Anolis sagrei: one gene and its partners. The protein of the gene in region 1 purifies or fractionates together with the protein of each later gene. This does not show direct contact. Links are inferred from orthologs where the notes say so. Each region holds a gene or a part of one and is shown on either strand. Other genes may lie near its edges.

Region 1 (7,752 bases):
GTGGGGTACAAATAAAGATTTTTTCAAATAATAATAATAATTTATTCTTCATTTATTCAGTCGCTTCCAACTCTTCGTGACCTCATGGACCAGCTCACGCCAGAGCTCCCTGTCAGCCATGGCCACCCCCAGCTCCTTCAAGGTCAAGCCAGTCACTTCAAGGATAACATCCATCCATCTTGCCCTTGGTCAGCCACTCTTCCTTTTTCCTTCCATTTTCCCCAGCATCACTGTCTTCTCCAAGCTTTCCTGTCTTATTACATGGCTAAGTACTTCATCTTTGCCTCTGATATCCTACCCTCCAATGAGCTGTCGGGCTTTATTTTCTTGAGTATGGACTGGTTGGATCTTCTCGTGGCACTCTCAGAATTTTCCTCCAACACCACAGTTCAAAAGTGTCAATCTTCTTTCCTTCAGCCTTCCTTATGGTCCAGCTCTCACATCCATAGGTTACTAAGGGGAATACCATTGCTTTTACTATGCGGATCTTCATTGCCAGCCTGATGTCTCTACTCTTCACTATTTTATTGAGATTTGTCATTGCTCTCCTCCCAAGAAGTAAATGTCTTCTGCAGTCTTCAGCCTGGAAATAAAAAGTCTGTCACTACCGCCATGTTTTCTCCCTCTATTTTCCAGCTATCAATCAGTCCAGTTGATATAATCTTTTATTTAAAAAAATGTTTAACTGCAACCCAGCTTTTGCACTTTCTTCTTTCACCTTGGTTAGAAGGCTCCTCAGCTCCTCCTTGCTTTTGGCCATCAAAGTGGTATCATCTGCATATCTAAGGTTGTTAATGTTTCTTCCAGCAATTTTAACTACAGCCTTGAATTCGTCAAGCCCCGCACATTTATTTATTTATTTACATTATTTCTATCCTGCCCATATCAGCCCGAAGGCGATTACACATTTGCGAGTAAGTCCCATAGAATTAAATGACATTTCCCTTCTTAGCAGAGATGTAAGGCTGCGGTTCTAAACATACTGAATAGTAGCTGTCAACCTTTGTTCATTAGATGTGTTCTGTATACAAGTTGAATAGGTTAGGTGAAAGTATACAGCCTTGACATATCCTTGTCCCGGAAAGGATCGTTACCTTGCCGTGATGCAGCAGCTTGAGCACTTAAATGATGCCACGAGTGAAACCGTGAAGGGACACCCAAGATGGAACAGTCATGGCAGAAAGGTCAGACCGAACACGATCTCTGGGGAAGGTAATGGCAACCCACCCCAGTATGCCAAGAAAACTAAATGGATCTATTATTATTATTATTATTTGAAACATAGCAAACAGAATCACTCTACTGGCTGTTGTATTTGGATCACACGTCGGACACTTCCCAAGTGTCTAAGACTGTGTGATGTGTTGGCGAATAATGCATGCAGATCTCAGTAAGGTGGCCTTCTGCAGCAGGCAGATGGTAATTTTCTCAGCCTCGATTGTGTTTAAGTGCAGGCCAAGGTCTTAAGGCACCGCACCCAATGTGCCGATCACCCCTGGGACCACCTTGACTGGCTTGTGCCAGAGTCTTTGCAGTTCGATTTTTAAATCCTCATATCATGTCAGCTTTTCCAGTTGTTTCTCTGCAATCCTGCTGTCACCTGGGATTGCGACACTGACAATCCATACTTTGTTTTTTAACACAATTGTGAGGTCAGGAGTATTATGCTCCAAAACTCTGTCTGTTTGAATCCGGAAGTCCCAGAGGAGTTTGGCGTGTTCTTTCTCTGTAACTTTTTCCGGCTTGTGATCCCACCAGTTCTTTGTCACAGGCAGATGGTATTTGTGGCAATGAATCATCTGAGCAACGGTGTTGTGCCTCTGCTTGTAGTCTGTCTGTGTGATCTTCTTGCAGCAGCTGAGGATGTGATCTATTGTTTCATCTTCTTCCTTGCAGAGTCTACATTTGGGATCTGTCGTCGACTTTTCAATTCTGGCTTTGATGGCATTTGTTCTAATGGCTTGTTCTTGGGCTGCCAGAATCAGTTCCAATTGTGAGCCACAGCCATGTTTTTTCTTTGTCAGTTTGGCTCTCAATTTTTCCCAGGAATTGTCCATAGAGAGCCTTCTTTTGCCAGTCTTCTCTTCTGCTCTGGATTGTGTTTTTATGATATTTACTCTTTGTCTTTTGCACTCAAAGCAGTTTACTACTATTGACTTCCCTCAATGTTGGTTCTTGACTGCCTTTCACATAATCTGCCAGTGCATGATTCTCTTCTTCTACCATTTGTTTCACTTGCAGAAGCCCTCTGCCTCCTGATTTTCTGGGCAGGTAAAGTCTGTCGACATCACTACACAGGTGTAATGCGTAGTGGATTGTCATGAGTTTTCTTGTTTTTCTGTCCAGATCACCCAGCTCTGCTTGTGTCCAGTTCACAATTCCAGCAGTGTATCTAATGACGGAGAAGGCCCAGGTGTTGATAGCCTTGATCATATTTCCGCCATTTAATTTGCTCTTCAAAACCTTTCTCTTTGGATATATTCTTTGCTGACCATTTTCTACATGCCCATGCTTGATAGTGTCCAACTGTAGCATGCCCAGATATTTATACATCTATTTATATTTATGTTGTTGTTCATTCGTTCAGTCGTCTCCAATTCTTCGTGACCTCATGAACCAGCCCACGCCAGAGCTCCCTGTCGGCCATCACCACCCCCAGCTCCTTCAAGGTCACTCCAGTCACTTCAAGGATGCCAGCCATCCATCTTGCCCTTGATCGGCCCCTCTTCCTTTTACCTTCCACTTTCCCCAGCATAATTGTCTTCTCTAGACTTTCCTGTCTCCTCATGATGTGGCCAAAGTACTTCAGCTTTGTCTCTAGTATCCTTCCCTCCAGTGAGCAGCCGGGCTTTATTTCCTGGAGGATGGACTGGTTGGATCTTCTCGCAGTCCAAGGCACTCTCAGCACTTTCCTCCAACACCACAGTTCAAAAGCATCGATCTTCCTTCGCTCAGCCTTCCCTAAGGTCCAGCTCTCACATCCGTAGGTTACTACAGGGAATACCATGGCTTTGACTAGGCGGATCTTTGTTGCCAGTCTGATGTCTCTACTCTTTACTATTTTATCGAGACTGGACATTGCTCTCCTCCCAAGAAGTAAGCGTCTTCTGATTTCCTGGCCACAGTCTGCATCTGCAGTAATCTCTGCACCTAGAAATACAAAGTCTGTCACGGCCTCCACATTTTCTCCCTCTATTTTCCAGTTGTCAATCATTCTTGTTGCCATAATCTTGGTTTTTTTGACGTTTAGCTGCAACCCAGTTTTTGCGCTTTCTTCTTTCACCTTGATTAGAAGGCTCCTCAGCTCCTCCTTGCTTTTGGCCATCAGAGTGGTGTCATCTGCATATCTGAGGTTGTTAATGTTTCTTCCAGCAATTTTTACCCCAGCTTTGCATTCATCCAGCCCCGCACATCGCATGATGTGTTCTGCATACAAGTTAAAAAGGTTGGGTGAGAGTATGCAGCCTTGCCGTACGCCTTTCCCAATCTTGAACCAGTCTGTTGTTCCGTGGTCAGTTCTTACTGTTGCGACTTGGTCCTTGTACAGATTCCTCAGGAGAGAGACAAGGTGGCTTGGGATGCCCATCCCACCAAGAACTTGCCACAATTTATTATGATCCACACAGTCAAAGGCTTTAGAAGAGTCAATGAAGCAGAAATAGATGTTTTTCTGAAACTCCCTGCCTTTCTCCATTATCCAGCATATATTGGCAACCTGGTCTCTCGTTCCTCTGCCTTTTCTAAACCCAGCTTGCACATCTGGTAACTCTCGCTCCATGTATTGCTGGAGTCTTCCTTGCAGGATCTTGAGCATTACCTTACTGGCATGAGAAGTAAGGGCCACTGTACGGAAGTTGGAGCAGTCTTTCGCATTTCCCTTTTTTGGTATGGGGATATAAGTTGATTTTTTCCAGTCTGATGGCCATTCTTGTGTTTTCCATATTTGCTGGCAAATGGCATGCATCACCTTGAAAGCATCATCTTTTAAGATTTTAAACAGTTCAGCTGGGATCCCGTCGTCTCCTGCTGCCTTGTTGTTAGCAATGCTTCTTAAGGCCCATTCAACCTCACTCCTCAGGATGTCTGGTTCTAATTCATTCACCACACTGTCAAAACTATCCTCGATATTATTATCCTTCCTATACAGATCTTCTGTATAATCTCGCCACCTTCTCTTGATCTCTTCAGCTTCTGTTAGGTCCCTGCCATCTTTGTTTCATTACATTTTTATTTATATAGATTATTATTATTATTATATTTTAGGTTAGCCCAGGCATGGGCACACTTGGGCCTTCCCTCCAGGTGTTTTGGACTTCAACTCCCACAATTCCTAGCCGGAATTGTGGGAATTGAAGTCCAAAATACCTAGAGGGCCCAAGTGTGCCTATGCCTGGTTATCACATCTTTAAATCACTTTTGTGATGGTTTGCTGGAGTCTCTCTATGGGGAGAAAGGCGGGTGAAAAATAAGGGCAATGAATAATTAAATAGATCCAATCAACGCGGCTTCTTCCTCCTCCTCCTGTCTTCCTGGGCAGCCTCCTTGGGGAGAAAAGGGAGGAGGTGGAGGTGGGCTTGGCTGCTTCTCCTCCTTCTCCTCCTCCTTCTCCGGAGACGTCAGCTTGCAGCTCCCCTTCGCCCCGCCTCTTTTTCCTCCTCCCTTCCTTCTCTCCTTGCTGCAGCGTCCTCCCTCCCTCCCATCCTCCTCTCCTCCTTTCCCTCCTTCCTTCCTTCCTTCTTTCCTTCCTGGGCCGGGCAACGCAGGACAGCAGCGCCTTTCCCTCTTTCCCTGGGAGCGCGCCCGGCTCAGCCTCTTTCTCTCTCCTTCCCTGCCCAAAAGAGAGAGAGTGAGAAAGAGAAGAGAAGAAGGAAAAGTCTCTCTCTTTTTCCTCCTTCCTTCCCCCCAAAAAAGAAGGGGGAAAGGGCGTCTTTCCTGCACAAAAAGGAGGGCGAAAACGCGCGCCCCTTTTGCATGCGCGCCTGTGTTCTGCTTCTCTCTCTGCGCGCGCAAAGGGGATTTACTCTTGCTTTTTTCCTATATATTATACATATATAATTAATAAAGACAGCTCTGCATATAGAGATCTTTTTTTTGGTTCCCGAGGAAGAGGAGGAGCAAAAGCAACAGCAGGAGGAAGGAACAGCAACAGCAGGAAAGGGGAGGAGGAGAAGAAACATGGCGAAAACCGAGCAGGTCCTGAGCCTGGAGCCGCAGCATGAGCTCAAATTCAAAGGTAACTTGGAGAGGGGCTGCTTCCTTCCTAACCTGAGCTGCTTCCTCGCCTTTTCCTCCTCCTTTTGGGCTTCTCCTTCGGCCGGGGGACAGCCTGGCTCCCCCTCTTGCCCCTTCCCTTGCTTCTCCCTCCCTTAAACCGAAAGATATCTGTCTAGATCGGCCAGGATATAATCCGATGCGCCGGGGTGGAGGCAGGAGAGGCAGCGGCGCGCTTTGCTGCGGTGCCAAAAAGGGCTCAGCTCCAGCGGCAGCCATTTTCCGGGGGCTCGCCCTCCTCCTCCTCCCCTCCCTCCTCCTAAAATGTCCTTAGTGGAAAAAGCACGGGGGGGACCTGAGCTACCTTTCCCTCCCTCCTTTCCCTCCTTTCCCAGCCCTCTTTCCTCTCCCTCTCTGCTTAAAGCCGCTGCGCAATCTCTCCTTCCTTTGGGTTGGTGCGGTGGCCAGGAGGGCGAGGATGGCACACAGCAGAAGCCTCCTTCTAGAGAACCAAAGCCTTGGGCCTCATCTCCACTGCCATACCACCATACCATACATTATATGGACTCTTGTGAATCTATACTCTCCATATAATGCAGTGTTTCTCAACCTGGGGGTCGGGACCCCTGGGAGAGGGTCGCAAGGGGGTGTCAGAGGGGTCGCCAAAGACCATCAGGAAACACAGTATTTTCTGTTTGTCATGGGGGTTCCCTATGGGAAGTTTGGCCCAATTCTATCATTGGTGGGGTTCAGAATTCTCTTTGGCTGTAGGTGAACTATAAATCCCAGCAAGTACAATTACCAAATGTCAAGTTATTTTCTCCAAACTCTACCAGTGTTCACATATGGGCATATTGAGTATTCATGCCAAATTTGGGCCTGATCCCATCATTGTTTGAGTCTACAGTGCTCTCTGGATGTAGCTGAACTATAACTCCAAAACTCAAGGACAATGCCCACCAAATCCTTCCAGTGTTTTCGGTTGGTTATGGGAGTTCAGTATATCAAGTTTAGTTCAATTCTATCATTGGTGGGGTTCGGAATTCTCTTTGATTGTAGGTGAACTATAAATCCCAGCAACTACAACTCCCAAATGTCACAGTCTTATTTTCCCCAAACTCCACCAGTGTCCACATTTGGGCATATTGAGTATTCGTGCCAAATTTGGTCCTGATCCATCATTGTTTGAGTCTACAGTGCTCTCTGGATGTAGGTGAACTACAACTCCCAAATGCAAGGTCAATGTTCACCAAACCCTTCCAGTATTTTCTGTTGGTCATGGGAGTTCAGTGTGTCAAGTTTGGTTCAATTCCATCGTTGATGGAGTTCAGAATGCTCTTTGATTGTAGGTGAACTATAAATCCCAGCAACTACATCTCCCATATGACAACATCAATCCCCCTTCCAATCCCACCAGTATTTAAATATGGGTGTAACGGGTATTTGTGCTCAATTTGGTTCAATGAATGGAAATACATCCCGCATATCAGATATTTACATGACGATTCATGACAGTAGCAAAATTACAGTTATGAAGTAGCTACGAAAATAATGTTATGGTTGAGGGTCACCACAACATGAGGAACTGTATTAAGGGGTTGTGACATTAGGATGGTTGAGAAACACTGCATTATATGGTCTCCTGTGAGTTTGTACTCTCCATATAATGCATCATAAACTTTGGAAAGGACCATAAGGGCCTTCCAGTCCAATCCCCCTTTCCTCTGAATCAAGGAGGTACTGTCTCTCCTTTGGGTTTGCACCTTCATCCTTCTCTTCAGTGTCTCTCCTTTGGATTTGCACCTTCATTCTTCTTTGGTGGGGAGGCAAAATCCTTCCTGGAAAAGCTCCCTTTCAGACGAAGCCTGGTTCTTTCTCCATCCCTTGTGTTTCTTGGTCTTAGTTTGTGGGCAGTCCTTTGAGGATTGAGGTGCCCAGGATCCCTTACGGTTGCAGGGTGGGTGGGTTGGGTTGCATAGGAATCTGCTGCGCTTGTGTGATGTTAGATACTATGAAGAAGCAGCCTCAGGGAAATCTTAAGGGCCTAAAATGCGTGATTATTTCCTTCATATTAAGGGGAAAACAATCAATGGACCCCAACCAAGCTATGTATTGCACAAACCATGTTTTGGTGGAGACGTGCTGCCAGGTCCATGTTATACAAGGAAAGAAGCCACCCACCCATGTTGCAATGACAATGTTTCCTGACAACTCTGTTCTCTCCCGTTGGTTGAGATAACAGGTCCAACCTCAGTTATGCTTATTTAGAAGTAAGCCCCAATATCTCCACTAAGGGTGTTTTCTACTCAAGTTTGCTAAAGGCTGCTGAAAGCATTTTGTTTGGTGCTCATTTAGGTATCTGATGGATATGGTGTCACATTATTAGACTTTCTATTTTGGCGTGGATTCTCCAAACGGAAATGGGTTAAATCCATTGGCCACTTTTTTTTCCATGTCAGGAGCGACTTGAGAAAGTTCAAGTCACTCCTGGTGTGAGAGAATTGGCCATTTGTTAGGACATTGCCCAGGGGACACCTGGAT
Region 2 (7,090 bases), on another chromosome or scaffold:
TGTTTGTAACTGAATCCTTTACCTATGCTGGAAACCACCCTGAGTCCCCTCGAGGAGATGGAGTAGTATACAAATAAAAGATTATTGTTGCTGTTGTTGTTGTTGTCCTTCATCAGTAACAGGTGGAAACAGTTGTGGAGGGGACGTGGTTTTAAAAAGGTAATTTTCAGATATATTCCCAATGCCCATATGTCATGATTTACTGCCATATTGGCCTATTTCTGCAGTAGGCCTTTGTTCACAGAAAATGCTGATTGTTTGAGAAATCAGTGCTCCAAAGAAGAAGTTACTATTCAAGGGTAACAACATATCCGGACAAAACCAGCTAGCTGTTTGCTAGATAGAACCCCCAAGTTTCCCAGTCGCTCTGAAGCCATGTTTGCAACAGACTAACAGATAAGATACAGTCATGGTCAGAGAACAATGGACCATAGTTATGTTATAGTTGTGCCATTGTTAGAATCCCACGTGTGCTATAATGTCAATCAAAATCATAAACAACTAATGAACAACTGCATAGCTAGCTTAGACTAATGAAATGATTTGTCTTTGGGAACCAATGAAAATGTATATTCCATTTACTATAATTGCTCTGCAGCCCCCTTGGGGGTTGCGACAAACCCTTTGATTGCATCCCTGTATGCTTGTTTGTCGTTATTGCTATGGCCACGCAATAATAAATAGTTTTTTGCAGTTTAAAGGATTCAACTTTCGTGGTGTCCATCCTTGCCCTCCCTATTGGAAAGGGGGCTTCTGCCTTTTGGGAAATATTTTGGTTTTGTTGCCCCTACAGTTGCATTCCTGACCCTCAGGTTATCTGCTTCTAAAGATACCATGGTGCACAGCCACTATCCAGGCTGGTTGGGGAACAAGATGTTGGTTTATTTATTTATTTACACTATTTCTGTCCCGCCCATATCAGCCCGAAGTTGACTCAGGACAGCATACACAGTCGGCACAATTTGATGCCATATATAAAATACATACATTGATAAAAAGCAAAAAAGAAACATTATAGTACGTTTAGAGACATAAAAACAATGAATAATAATAAAATTAAAAACTATGTCCTCTCGTTCAAATCCTCATCCGTTCCATCGTCTTAACCATCGTTCCTGGGTCATTTTCCGATTCAGGTTTGTCTGTTTATCCTGAGGTTCCAAATGCTTGCTCGAAGAGCCAGGTTTTCACTTTGTTTCGAAAGGTCAGGAGGGAGGGGGCTGATCTAATATCCCTAAGCAGGGAGGCGAGGGGCCGCCACAGAGAAGGCCCTGTCTCTCGTCCCTGCCAAACATGCTTGCGAAGCAGGCGGGATCAAGAGCAGGGCCTCCTCGGACGATCTCAAGTTCCTGGTGGGTTCGTAGGAAGAGATGCGTTCGGATAGATAAGCTGGTTCTCAGAATAAATCCTTTGAGATCAGACCTCTGTCAGTTATCTCAGTTCCAAGCGGTGTGGCTCTGGAGAAATCTCCTCCGAAGGATCACGCAGAGAATCCCAAGTGGAGTAGACATCCACACGTTTATTGTTAGGAATACAAGAGCTTCAACTACAGGCCTCTTATATAGTACTAACTACCATACCATAAATCATGTTTTCAGGTATCCTGGTGCCTTTACCATTTCAAAGCCTTTCCATCTCAAGGCCCATTTCCTCCCTTACCTTTGGCACCTAGTCCCATTACCACATCAAACCCCTCCCATATCAAAGCCCAGTTCTTCCCTCACCCTTGGCAGCTAAGTTTTATGGCTGCCCCAATTTGTCCTGCATTTCCTTTTGGCCCAATGTCCCATGGCCACGTGGTTTGTGTCAGTTGTATGGCATGATCGAGAGATCATGACAACCTCTAGCTCTGGGCCCGTTGTTCCCTTGGCAGAGTCCCATGTCAAAAGAACCAGGATTGCAGGATGTAGAAAGACACGGCTTCACTCAGCATTGGCAACAAAAGAAGTTCCTGAATATTTGGGAGACCTTCCTTCTGGCCAGAGCTGTTCACCAGTGGAATCTGCAGCTTCCTGGGAGTCTGTCTGAGTTGTTGGGAGGGCTTGGATTGTGTCTTCCTGTCTTCCTGGCAAACATGGGTTGGACTTGATGGCCTTTGGCGTCCCTTCTAACTTGATGAAGAATGCTGCACTTGCAGAGCTCAGGTGGTGTTGAATTTCAGTGTCGATGTTGACTTTTGTGGAGAGGGGGCTGCCAAGGGAGCGGAAATGGTCCACATTGTCTACTGTTGCTGTGTTTCTGGCATTGGAGAGGGATCAGCTGGTGACTGCTGGAAGAGCACTTTGGTTTTCTCGATGTTGAATGACAGGCTGAGCTGCTTCTCGTATGCTTCTGCAAAGGTGTTTAGAGTGGCTTGTAGGTCTTCTTCTGAATGTGCACAGACTGCATTGTCATCAGCATACTGGAGTTCTATAACAGATGTTGTTGTGACCTTGGTTTTGGTTTTCAGTGCAATACAGTGGCAGTGCATGATGAAGAAGCTGCCTTGTCTGGCCACGTGGAAGGAAGGGCATGGGCCTTTCTTGAGAATCCTGTTATAGAACTCCAGTATGCTGATGACAACGCAGTCTGTGTGCATTCAGAAGAAGACATACAAGCCACTCTCAACACCTTTGCAGAAGCATACGAGAAGCAGCTCAGCCTGTCATTGAACATCAAGGAAACCAAAGTGCTCTTCCAGCATTCACCAGCCAATCCCTCTCCAATGCCAGAAACACAGCTTCATGCTGTTAGCTGGCCCTGATTGCTTAATGCCTGTTTCTTTATGCAGATACCTACATCATGTTGAATGTTGCCATTGGCCACCTTGATCAGCTCCAGTTCTGGGCACCACAATTCAAGAGAGATATTGACAAGCTGGAATGTGTCCAGAGGAGAGCGACTAAAATGATAAAAGGTCTGGAGAACAAGCCCTATGAGGAGCGGCTTAAGGAGCTGGGCATGTTCAGCCTGAAGAAGAGAAGGCTGAGAGGGGATATGATAGCCATGTATAAATATGTGAGAGGAAGCCACAGGGAGGAGGGAGCAAGCTTCCTTTCTGCTTCCTTGGAGACTAGGACGCGGAACAATGGCTTCAAACTACAAGAGAGGAGATTCCATCTGAACATTAGGAAGAACTTCCTGACTGTGAGAGCCGTTCAGCAGTGGAACTCTCTGCCCCGGAGTGCGGTGGAGGCTCCTTCTTTGGAAGCTTTGAAACAAAGGCTGGATGGCCATCTGTCAGGGGCGATTTGAATGCAATATTCCTGCTTCTTGGCAGAATGGGGTTGGACTGGATGATGGCCCAGGAGGTCTCTTCCCACTCTAGGATTCTAGGATTCTGTAACTTCCTGACTGTGAGAGCTGTTCAGCAGTGGAACTCTCTGCCCCGGAGTGCGGTGGAGGCTCCTTCTTTGGAGGCTTTGAAACAGAGGCTGGATGGCCATCTGTCAGGGGTGATTTGAAGGGAATAGAGTTTAAGGAGATTCCATCTGAATATGAGGAAGAACTTCCTGACTGTGAGAGCCGTTCAGCAGTGGAACTCTCTGCCCCGGAGGGAGTGTGGTGGAGGCTCCTTCTTTGGAAGCTTTGAAGCAGAGGCTGGATGGCCATCTGTCAGGGGTGCTTTGAATGCAATATTCCTGCTTCTTGGCAGAATATGGTTTGGACTGGATGATGGCCCAGGAGGTCTCTTCCAACTCTAGGATTCTAGGATTCTATGAATGGCCTTGCAGCTTGAAAGCCTGGCTGCTTCCTGCCTGGGAGAATACTTTGTTGCGAGGTGTTAGCTGGCCTTGATTGCTTAATATCTGTTTCTGGCTGTTTCTCTCCCGGCGAGGGCCTGGCGCCTCCTGGCGGCCTCTTGGGGGCAGCAACGTCCCGGTACCCATGTGCGCGGGGGAGCAATTCCACCCGGAGCCTGAAGAGCGACGCGCAGGAGGCGCGCCTTCCCATTGGCCGAGCGCCGCTGCCGCCACGTGACCGCGCGGCGTGCTCCGGGAAAGCGGTCCCCTTCCTTCCTTCCTCGGGCAGCAACATGGGCAAGAAGAAGGCCGCGGCGTCGGGGGGTCCGGGCCTGGGGAGAGCCCTCCTCCGAGAGCGGGGACAGGGCCGCGGGGGGAAGCAGCGGGGAGACCCCGGATGGGTGAGAGAGAGAAAGAAAGAAAGAGAGACATGTCTTGTCGAAGGCTTTCATGGCCGGAATCCCTGGGTTGTTGTAGGTTTTTTCGGGCTATATGGCCATGGTCTAGAGGCATTCTCTCCTGACATTTCGCCTGCATCTATGGCAAGCATTCTCAGAGGGAGTGAGGTCTGTTGGAACTAGGAAAAAGGGTTGGTATATCTGTGGAATGGCTGGGGTGGGGCAAAGGACTCTTGTCTGCTGGAGCTAGGTGGGAAGGTTTCAACTGACCACCTTCATTAGCATTTGAAGGCATTTGAAGGCCTGCCTGAGCCTGGGAAAATCTCTTGCTGGGAGGTGTTAACACGAATCAAGGAACATGAAAGGCACTGCAGACTCCTTCAAACAGAGAAGTCAGCCATAGCAGAGCACCTGATGAACCAACCTGGACACAGCAGATTATTTGAGAAGACAGAAATGTTGGCCCACTCTCACAACCACCATGTGAGGCTACACAGAGAAGCCATTGAGATCCACAAGAAGCAGGTGGACAATGTCAACAAAAAGGAAGAGACCATGAAAATGAACAAAATCTGGCTACCAGTATTAAAAAAACTCTAAAATTACAACAGCAAAACAGTAGAGAGGAAACAAACAGGCACATCTTAACACCTCTCAACAAAACATTTCCCAGGCTCAGCCAGGCCTTCAAATGCTAATGAAGGTGGTCAGTTGAAACATTCACACCTAGCTCCAGCAGAGAAGAGCTCTGTGCCCCACCCCAGTCATTCCACAGATATATAAACCCATTTTCCTATTTCCAGCAGACCTCACTCCCTCTGAGGATGCTTGTCGTAGATGCAGGTAAAACGTCAGGAGAGAATGCCTCTAGAACATGGCCATATACCCCGAAAAAACCCACAAGAACTGAAAGAGAGACATACTGCTGGGCTTTGGCTTGGCGTCTTCAAGGATAGGCCGGGCCCACTCCGGTCCTCCTCCGCGGGTTCGGATGCCAGCTCCCACCCTTCCTCACAGCCGGTAGTTGGAGTCCAAAACCCCCGGAGGAGAGCCGAAGTGGGGCCAGGCCTGGCTGATGTATCGGTGAGCTTCAGTTAGGAAGCAGGAGGCTTTCCAACAGAGGCTGGGTGGCCATCTTCCAGGACTGCTTTGAACGTGCTTCTCCTGCATCAAGGGCCTGGAGTACACGCCCCGAGAGGAGAGCGCGGCTGAAGGAGCTGCCGGGCATGTTTAGCCTGAAGAAGAGAAGGACGAGACGAGGCAGGATGAGGGCCATGTATAAGTATGTGAGAGGAAGCCACAGGGAGGAGGAGGGACCAAGCTTCCTTCCTGCTTCCCTGGAGACTAGGACGCAATGGAACAATGGCTTCAAACTACAAGAGAGGAGATTCCACCTGAACATGAGGAAGAACTTCCTGACTGTGAGAGCCATTCAGCAGTGGAACTCTCTACCCTGGAGTGTGGTAGAGGCTCCTTCTTTGGAAGCTTTGAAACAGGGGCTGGATGGCCATCTGTCAGGGGTGATTTGAATGCAACATTCCTGCTTCTTGGCAGAATGGGGTTGGACTGGATGAGGACCCAGGAGGTCTCTTCCCACTCTAGGATTCTATGAGGCTGGATGGCCATCTGTCAGGGGTGCTTTGAATGCAACATTCCTGCTTCTTGGCAGAATGGGGTTGGACTGGATGAGGGCCCAGGAGGTCTCTTCCCACTCTAGGATTCTATGAGGCTGGATGGCCATCTGTCAGGGGTGCTTTGAATGCAACATTCCTGCTTCTTGGCAGAATGGGGTTGGACTGGATGAGGGCCCAGGAGGTCTCTTCCCACTCTAGGATTCCAGGATTTTTAACACTTCCATAATGCAATTTTAAGGTTCCTTTTTGTGGTGGGGGCTTCGCTCTTGCCAGGTCTCTGTAGGCCTGGGACCAGCGTGGAGATGCCATGGGGGGAGGGAATACAGGCACACGTGCCCCATGGCTATGAATTGCCCCCCCCCCCAAAACCCCAACAGGGAAGGGAAGTCCCAGGGAGGAGGGGGGGTCAGGCTTCCTTTCTGCTGCTCTGGAGACTAGGAGCAATAAGTTGTAGCAGGACCAAGTGTGTATGTTATCTTAGGTTTTTTACCCCTGAGTCTTATCCTTTATGATCAGACCATCCTGAATTAAATTGTGAAGATCTCAGGCGCCTTCATTCCCGTTCTTTTGGCACCAGAGGAAGGTCTTGTCCTTCAACATAGGCCATTGAACTGGGGTTGTGTGTATTCCGATATTCACAGCCATTGAGAGAGAGGGAAACAGGAAAAGCTTCTCAGCTAAAAACTCCTAGGACCCTGGACTTTAAAGTTTATAAAGTATTTTTCCCTGTTGAAACATCAAGTTTGTGCCTAAGAAAGATAACTCATTGTCAACAATGAATATCATTTCGAGTTACCTGTTGTGTTCTGGTCCTTGGAAGTTTTAGTTTCCCTAAAGGAGGGCAAGAAGCAATCCCCTGGGGACAGATGTCACGTTCATGCCTCCTTTTCTACGAGCTATAGCCTCAGGCGCGACGGCACAGTGTAGCCTGCAGAAGAGAAGGATGAGACGAGGCAGGATGGTGAGGGCCAGGGATCAAGATGTGAAGAGAAGCCCGAGGGGGAAGGGGGAGCAGGCTTCCTTTATGCTGCCCCGGAGACTAGAACGCAATGGAACAATGGCTGCAAACTAATAATAATAATAATAAACTTTATTTTTACCCTGCCATCATCTCCCCAAGGGGACTCAGGGTGACTTACATGAGGCCAAGCCCAGCAATTGCAACAATGCAAATATACAGCCTCAATAATACAGCAATAAAATATAATAAAAATACAAAAAATACAAAAAGCAATACAAAGCAAACACACAGTGCGATATAAAATCACAATAAGGAAAGGAAAACTACAGGAAAGGAAGGAGATTGACCTGGTAGAGAGAGAAGGAAGGAGAGTAG
Region 3 (7,640 bases), on another chromosome or scaffold:
GGCACACTGGGATCCTTATATTAAAACTACATTTTGATTGCTAAATAATGCTAAAATAACACACTAAATGGCCCTTTTTTTATATAAAGCAGCTCAGCTGAGAACTGCGTATTTGGAGCTGACTGGGGTAAACTGTAGGGATGATGAAGATATTGAATCTGGATTGGGATCTTGATTCCTTATTAACAGCTTGTTTATCATATTGTTGAAGGCATTCATAGCTGGAATCACTGGGTAGCTTTGAGTTTTCCGGGCTTATATGGCTATGTTCCAGAAGCATTCTCTCCTGATGTTTTGCCTGCATCTATGGTAGGCATCCTCAGAAGCGGTGAAGTCTGTTGGAAACTAGGTAAGTGGGGTTTATATATCTGTGGAATGTCCAGGGTGGGAGAAAAAACTCTTGTCTGTTTGAGGCAAGTGTGAATTGCTGCATTGGCCATACTTTGTTGGGAGGTGATTAGCTGGCCTTGATTGTTTCGTGTCTGGAATTCCTCTGTTTTATTTGAGAACACAGAAATGCTGGACCACTCTAACAACCACCACATCAGACTCCACAGAGAAGCCATCAAAATCCACAAGGATGTGGACAATTTCAACGGAAAGGAGAGAACCATGAAAATGAACAAAATCTGGCTGCCAGTGTTTTAAAAAAACGCTAAAATAAAAACAGTAAATAAAGAACACTCCAAAATAGGGGGGTTCCAGTCAGGAAACAATCAGAACCAGCTAATCTTCTCCCAACAAAGGATTCCTCCAGGCAGTTAGCAGCCAGAACTTGAAGCTGCAAGGCCATTAAATGTTAATCTAGGTAGCCAACTGTAATATTCACACCTGCCTCAAATAGACAGAGTTATTTCTACCACCCTAGACATATCATAGACATATAAACCCCACTTGCCTAGTTTCCAACAGACCTCATGAGTTGTCGAAAGCTTCCATGGCTGGAATTAATGGGTTGCTGTGAGTTTTCCGGGCTATATGGCCATGTTCCAGAAGCATTCTCTCCTGATGTTTCATCCCATCTATGGCAGGATTCCTCAGAGGTATGCCTGCTATAGATGTGGGTGAAATGTCAGGAAAAAAATGCTTCTGGAACTTGGCCCTACAGCCCAGAAAACTCACAGCAACCCAGACCTCAAAACCTCTGATGCCTGTTGCAGATGTGGGTGAAACATCAGGAGGGAATGCTTCTGGAACATAGCCATACAGCCCAGAAAACTCACAGAAACCTCACCACCTCTGAGAATGCCTGCCATAGAAGCGGGCAAAACATCAGGAGAGAATGCTTCTGGAACATGGCCAGACAGCCCAGAAAACTCACAGAAACCTCACCACCTCTGAGAATGCCTGCCATAGATGTGGGCGACACGTCAGGAGAGAATGCTTCTGGAACATGGCCAGACAGACCAGAAAACTCACAACAACCCAGCTTGTTTAACTTTGTTGTACTGTGGGTTGTATGCTGTATGTGTCGAATGTGATTGTCAAGTGTTTTGATGCGGCTGATGGGCTAATCAAGGAAATTACTATTACTACAAAAAACTTGGAGTCCTCATGGACAACAAGTTAAACATGAGCCAACAATGTGATGCGGCGGCAAAAAAAGCCAATGGGATTTTGACCTGCATCAATAGAAGTATAGAGTCTAGACCCAGGGAAGTCATGCTACCCCTCTCTTCCGCTTTGGTTAGACCACACCTAGAATATTGTGTCCAATTCGGGACACCACAATTGAAGACAGATGTTGCCAAGCTGGAATGTGTCCAGAGGAGGGCGACTAAAATGATCAAGTCTGGAGAACAAGTCCTATGAGAAGCGGCTTAAAGAGCTGGACATGTTGAGCCTGAAGAAGAGAAGGCTGAGAGGAGACATGATAGCCATGTATAAATATGTGAAAGCAAGTCATAGAGAGGAGGGAGCAAGCTTGTTTTCTGCTGTTCTGAAGAGTAAGAAGTGGAACAATGACTTCAAACTACAAGAAAGGAGATTCCATCTGAATATTAGGAAGAACTTCCTGAGAGTGAGAGCTGTTCAGCAGTGGAACTCTCTGCCCTGGAGTGTGGTGGAGGCTCCTTCTTTGGAAGCTTTTAAACAGAGGCTGGATGACCATCTGTCAGGAGTGCTTTGAATGTAATATTCCTGGATGGTCCAACTCTATGATTCTATAAAACATCTTGTGAATGTAGTTAAGACAGAGCTTGAACTGCCATGGAGGAGGAAAAGAGTTGGGTGAGGCACCAGCAGAGAAGGCTGGAGAGCTTGTCCAAACTCCACAACATGCATTGAGGAAAGTGGTGTCAAAGTGTATACAGCAGGCATGGGCAAACTTGGGTCCTCCAGGTGTGTTGGAGTCCAACTCCCACCATTCCTCACAGCCTCAGGCCCTTTCCTTTTCCCCCTCAGCCGCTTAAGCGGCTGAGGGGGAAAAGGAAGGGGCCTGAGGCTGTGAGGAATGGTGGGAGTTGGACTCCAACACACCTGGAGGGCCCAAGTTTGGACCTGGGCGGGAAAAAGTGGGCAAAGGTGGCAAAGGAAAAAGCTGCACCTGAGGAGAGAAGGCAGTCCTCCCCTGCCTCCATCCTCTTTGTCGCCTTCCTTACCGGCTCTGCCAGCCCTGGAGCAGGTTGGTGTATTTGCTGAGGCTGCCCTCCAGCGCCGGCTCCGTCCTCCTGGCCCCCGGGCTGGCTGCAGCCGAACCGGGGCTGCTCCCACTCCCGCCTCCTCCTCCTCCTCCCTCGGGCCTCCGGTTGGGCAGCCCTCTCCCGGCCGAAGAGGACGGAGAGGATCCCGCGGAAGGGGGCCGGCTGCTGCTCCGGCTGCTGCTGTTGCTGCCTCCTCCTCCTCCTCCGCTGTTGTTGTTGTTCCCCTCCGCGCCGACGCTGCTCTGCGCCTTCTCCATGGAGCTCGGGGGAGAAATACCTGACTCATCCGCAAAGGAGGGAAAAGGGAGAGACCCGCCACAGCCTCCCCTGCTTCCTTCTCCTCGACGTCCGGCTCAGACCCACCCCGCCGCCCTCTGCCTTGCGGATCTCCTCCTCCTCCTCCTTTGCTTCCCGGAGGGCCAAAGGGAAAGGGACGACCCTCCTTCGCAATGAGAGGGAGGGGCTTCGGTGGCCCCGCCTCCCGACACGCCCCTCCGAGGCTCAAAGCGCGCCGGAGAGAGAGAGGGGGGGGGGAGGTGGGAGGGTGCCCACTCTTTGGAACTAATGCGGTTTGACACTCCTTTACAACTGCCTGCTCACTGCTGGGAAATCCTGAGGGTCCGGCTCTTACAAGGTCTTGAGCCTCTTCTGGTGCCTCTCTAACTCAAACTCTCATTGGAACAACGTCAAGCTGCCTTTATTCGACACCATTCTGAGATACAGAGCTATGTGGAAGGGCCCTTAGAGTTTTCCTAGCAGGATCTTTTCAGGGGAGGGGTTTGCCATTGCTTTAGTTAGGCTGAGAGTGTGTGACCTCTCCCGTTGGTTTCCAAGCAGGCATGTAGGGGGGGGGGGCTTGAGGGGCTTCAGCCCCCCCCCCCCCCAAATTCTCATGGTGGTCCGCGAGAAGGCCTTACTGGCAGGCCTGTAGCGAGAGGATGGTTTTAGGGGTTCAACCCCCCCCCCTGAAATGTTTCAGATTTTTTAAAAAAACCTGGTTTACTCATGAATTTTAACTGGTCAACCAAATCCCCATGCTAAGTCTATGAGATGCAAACAATTTAGAGTCCCTCCAGAACTGTAAGCACTATCTCAAGCAAATATTGACAATTTATTCACACTGTCATTACTTGCAGCAATAGCCAATGTAGTGAAGCAACCAAGTTGGGGATGTGTGTGTTGAATGCTCTCATTAAGGAGGCCAGACTTGGTGGAGGTGGTTGACAGGGATGGAGCTGCAGGCTATTGAAGGTTGCTCTGATCCCTGCTGTGCTCTTTGCTTCAGCGTGAGCTAGGAGGCAGGTTTCACCCCCCCCCCCCCGAAATTTTCAACCCTCCCCGAAATTTTCAACCACCCCCTCCTCCGAAATTGTCAACCCTCCCCAAAAATTTTTTCTGGCTACGGCCCTGCTTACTGGTACATTATGTAAACTGTTATGTTTATTCATATCATGATCTGATCAACATGCTCAATATATCCCATATGCATCTCCTCCTATGAACCGACCAGGACACTAAGATCATCTGGGGAGGGCCTTCTCAGTGGTGGCCCCCTCGGCTGTGGAATGCCCTACCTGCAGACATCAGATCGCCCCCCCTCGCTGTTGCCGTTTCGGAGGAAGGTGAAGACCTGGCTATTCGAATAAGCGTTTGACTAAACAGTGAAATTGAAAATAGGAATACGGAACAATGGATAATGAGAGTGGATTCTGATTTTATTGTTGAGGCGTTATGATTGTTATACTGTTGTTAATTGTTATGTTATAATCTGTTTTAATTGCATTATACTGTTTTGTGATATTTTGCATTGTTGTGTAAACCGCTTTGAGTCGCCTAAGGGCTGAGAAAAGCGGTATAGAAATAAAGTAAATAAATAAATAATAAATATTAGGGTAACAATACAAAAGGTTTGCTAGGGTAGACCCTCTTTCACTCAGACTCAGCCCCCACCCCACCCCCATCAAAATCCTGGCTCCGGGCCTGTTTCCAAGGATAAATAGGAGCTGAAATCCTGATCTTTTAGGACCCTTCCACACAGCCCTATATCCCAGAATATCAAGGCAGAAAATCCCACAATATCTGCTTTGAATTGGGTTATCTGAATCCACATTAAGATAATGTCAGATTTTTTGTCTTGATATTCTAGGACAGGGGTCCTCAAACATTTTGAACAGGGGGCTAGGTCACTGTCCCTCAGACTGTTGGAGGGCCGAACTATAGTTTACACGGGAAGATTGTTAAACATTTATTTTATATATTGTGAAACATTTCTAATTACAAATAAATGTAATGTTGACTTCAAGCATGTCGTAGCATGGGTAACAGGCTTACTATAACAGCAGGGAACCCATGAATATGTTTACTGATCAATCTATTAGACAAATTTCCATGACCTCTTGTCATCATAATTTGTGGCAGCCATGCAAAGTTTCTGGAGGAGAACTACTACTGCTACAAAACCAAAGGACACTGCCCACCAAACCCTTCCAGTATTTTCTGTTGGTCATGGGAGAACTGTGTGCCAAGTTTGGTTCAATTCCATCATTTGTGGGGTTCAGAGTGCTCTTTGATTGTAGGTGAACTATAAATCACAGCAACTACAACTCCCAAATGACAAAATCTAATTTTTTTTGAGTGAAGGACATACATTGGGTTGTTAGGTGTCTTGTGTCCAAATTTGGTGTCAATTCGTCCAGTGGTTTTTGAGTTCTGTTAATCCCACAAACAAACATTACATTTTTATTTATATAGATTTATTTACATCATTTCTATCCCATCCATTTCAGCCTGAAGGAAACTCAGGGCAGCATACAGACCAGCAACAATTAGATGTCATATATATATATATATGTGTGTGTGTGTGTGTGTGTGTGTGTGTGTGTGCATATATCTGTTAAAATCAATTAAATCACATCATAAATACGAGGGCATAGCTCCTCAACAGATGACAGTACTAGTATGCGGCAGGTACTGGCTTGTTCAATAGACTCTCCTCTACAGTTCCATTTTGGCGGAAAGCTTTAACATTGAACGGTTATGTTATTAAAGTGCAAAGTATGGAATCCTGCACAGACTTTGGTCAATGCAACTTAAGCAATGTGCAGTCATTGAATTCTTGACAGCAGAAGGTGTCACCCCAAAGGAGATTCATCAGCCGTTTATGGTGATTGTGTTGATGTGAGTACTGAGCATCATTGGGTGACCAAGTTTAAAGATATGGAGGTGACACCTTCTATTGTTAAGAATTCAATGACTGCACGTTGCTTAAGTCGCATTGACCGAGTGTCTGCGCAGGGTTCCATACATTGCACTTTAACAACACAACCATTTAATGCTAAGGCTTCCCACCAAAATGGAACAGTAGAGGAGAGTGTATTGAACAAGCCAGTACCTGCCGCATACCAGTACTGCCATCTGTTGAGGAGTTATGAAGGTGGGGGCATTACTTTTTATTCAACCCTCATACATATAAAATCCATAAAAACTATAAAAATCTATTAAAAAACAGTGTCATCCAGACTAATTCCTCATCAGTTTTCATCGTCTTGGCCATTCTGTGTTCGTATTACAATTTTGTATTTATCTGGTCACGCTGAAGCTCCAAACACTTGCTCAAAGAGCCAAGTTTTCACCCTGTTCTGAAAGGTCAGGAGAAAGGGGGCTGATCTAATATCCCTGGGAAGGGAGTTCCACAGCCGAGGGGCCACCACTGAGAAGGCCCTGTCTCTAGTCCCTGCCAGATACTCCTGTGAAGTAGACGGGATTGAGAGCAGGGCCTCCCCAGACAAATCCCATAATTCCATAGCATTGAACCAAAGCAGTTCAAGTGATATCAAGAGCCGGGCTTTAGCACAGTAGGTTAACCACCAGCTGCAATAAATCTTGCCAATCGGAAGATTGACAGTTCAAAGCTCGGGTCAGGGTGAGCTCCTTTAGCCCAGCTCTCTGCCCACCTAGCAGATCCAAAACAAATGTGTGTAGATAAATAGGTACCGTGTTAAAGCGGGGAGGTATTTAGGCATGGCATTTCAATCAGAAAAAGGAGAATATTTATGAACAAAAGAAAGCTCTTCAGCAGAGAGATAGAGTGACAGCATCCCCCGTTGGCCGGAACCAAGCACAGCCTCCAAAATGCCGAAAGATAGGAAAGCTTAGATATACCTCTATCTGTTGTCTGTCTTGTCATTGTATAATTGCCATTAAATGTTTGCGATATATGTGTTCTGTGATCCACCCTGAGTCCCCTTCAGAGTGAGAAGGGTGGAATATAAATTGAGCAAATAAATAAATAAATAAATAAGGTTGTGATATGGATACAATCTTAGAGTTCACTCCAGTACATGTCATTACTCAGAAACAAACTTTTGTACTTTAGCTTGTAGGCATTTTTATGTATAAGATTGCTATCTTTACTTACCTTTAGGATTACAAACATGCACTTGTTGCTTGGGGTACATCTACATTGTAGAATTAATGCATTGTAACACCATTGTAACTGCCATGAGTCGATATTATGGAACCCTGAGAATTGTAGTTCACTGAGGCAGCAGCATTATTTACAGTATTTATTTATTTACAGTATTTATATTCCGCCCTTCTCACCTTCCAGGAGACTCAGGGTGGATTACAATTCACATATACATGGCAAACATTCAATGCCATTTAGACATACAACCTATATAGACAGGCAGAGAGACAATTTAATATTCCAGCTTTTCCGGCTTCATGAGGGTATGCTCGATTCCGGCCACAGAGGGAGCTGCCGCTTCACCGCCCAGTTGTGACACTGAGTCCTTTGATGGAGTATTTGCTCATTCTTCTGCACACTTCTGGGAGGTTTTATGGCCTTGTAAATTAGTTAAATTAGCCTCCCTGCATAACATGGTAACTAAATTTCCTACTTGACAGATGTAACTGTCTTTCAGGCTGCATAGGTTGATGGCATGCTAGGCTATTAATGGTCAGGAGCTTATTCCACTCTGGGCTGGCTTTGAACTC

Evidence for each region.
Region 2: the proteins of VAPB (region 1) and LSG1 purify together in Homo sapiens (affinity purification with mass spectrometry; 3 studies listed by BioGRID and IntAct, counting the BioPlex papers as one, with this or other methods). This does not show direct contact. The link is inferred for Anolis sagrei from reciprocal best matches to the Homo sapiens genes VAPB and LSG1.
Region 3: the proteins of VAPB (region 1) and OSBPL10 purify together in Homo sapiens (affinity purification with mass spectrometry; 4 studies listed by BioGRID and IntAct, counting the BioPlex papers as one, with this or other methods). This does not show direct contact. The link is inferred for Anolis sagrei from reciprocal best matches to the Homo sapiens genes VAPB and OSBPL10.

What each region holds. Positions count from the first base shown.
Region 1 is NC_090024.1:228,270,460-228,278,211, forward strand, and holds the start of VAPB (vesicle-associated membrane protein-associated protein B/C), read left to right. Parts: upstream 1-4,649; 5' UTR 4,650-5,175; coding exon 5,176-5,233; intron 5,234-7,752. UniProt on the Homo sapiens protein: Endoplasmic reticulum (ER)-anchored protein that mediates the formation of contact sites between the ER and endosomes via interaction with FFAT motif-containing proteins such as STARD3 or WDR44.
Region 2 is NC_090023.1:274,191,185-274,198,274, reverse strand, and holds the start of LSG1 (large subunit GTPase 1 homolog), read left to right. Parts: upstream 1-3,999; 5' UTR 4,000-4,015; coding exon 4,016-4,123; intron 4,124-7,090. UniProt on the Homo sapiens protein: Functions as a GTPase. May act by mediating the release of NMD3 from the 60S ribosomal subunit after export into the cytoplasm during the 60S ribosomal subunit maturation.
Region 3 is NC_090026.1:81,780,228-81,787,867, reverse strand, and holds the start of OSBPL10 (oxysterol-binding protein-related protein 10), read right to left. Parts: upstream 3,092-7,640; 5' UTR 2,900-3,091; coding exon 2,601-2,899; intron 1-2,600. UniProt on the Homo sapiens protein: Probable lipid transporter involved in lipid countertransport between the endoplasmic reticulum and the plasma membrane.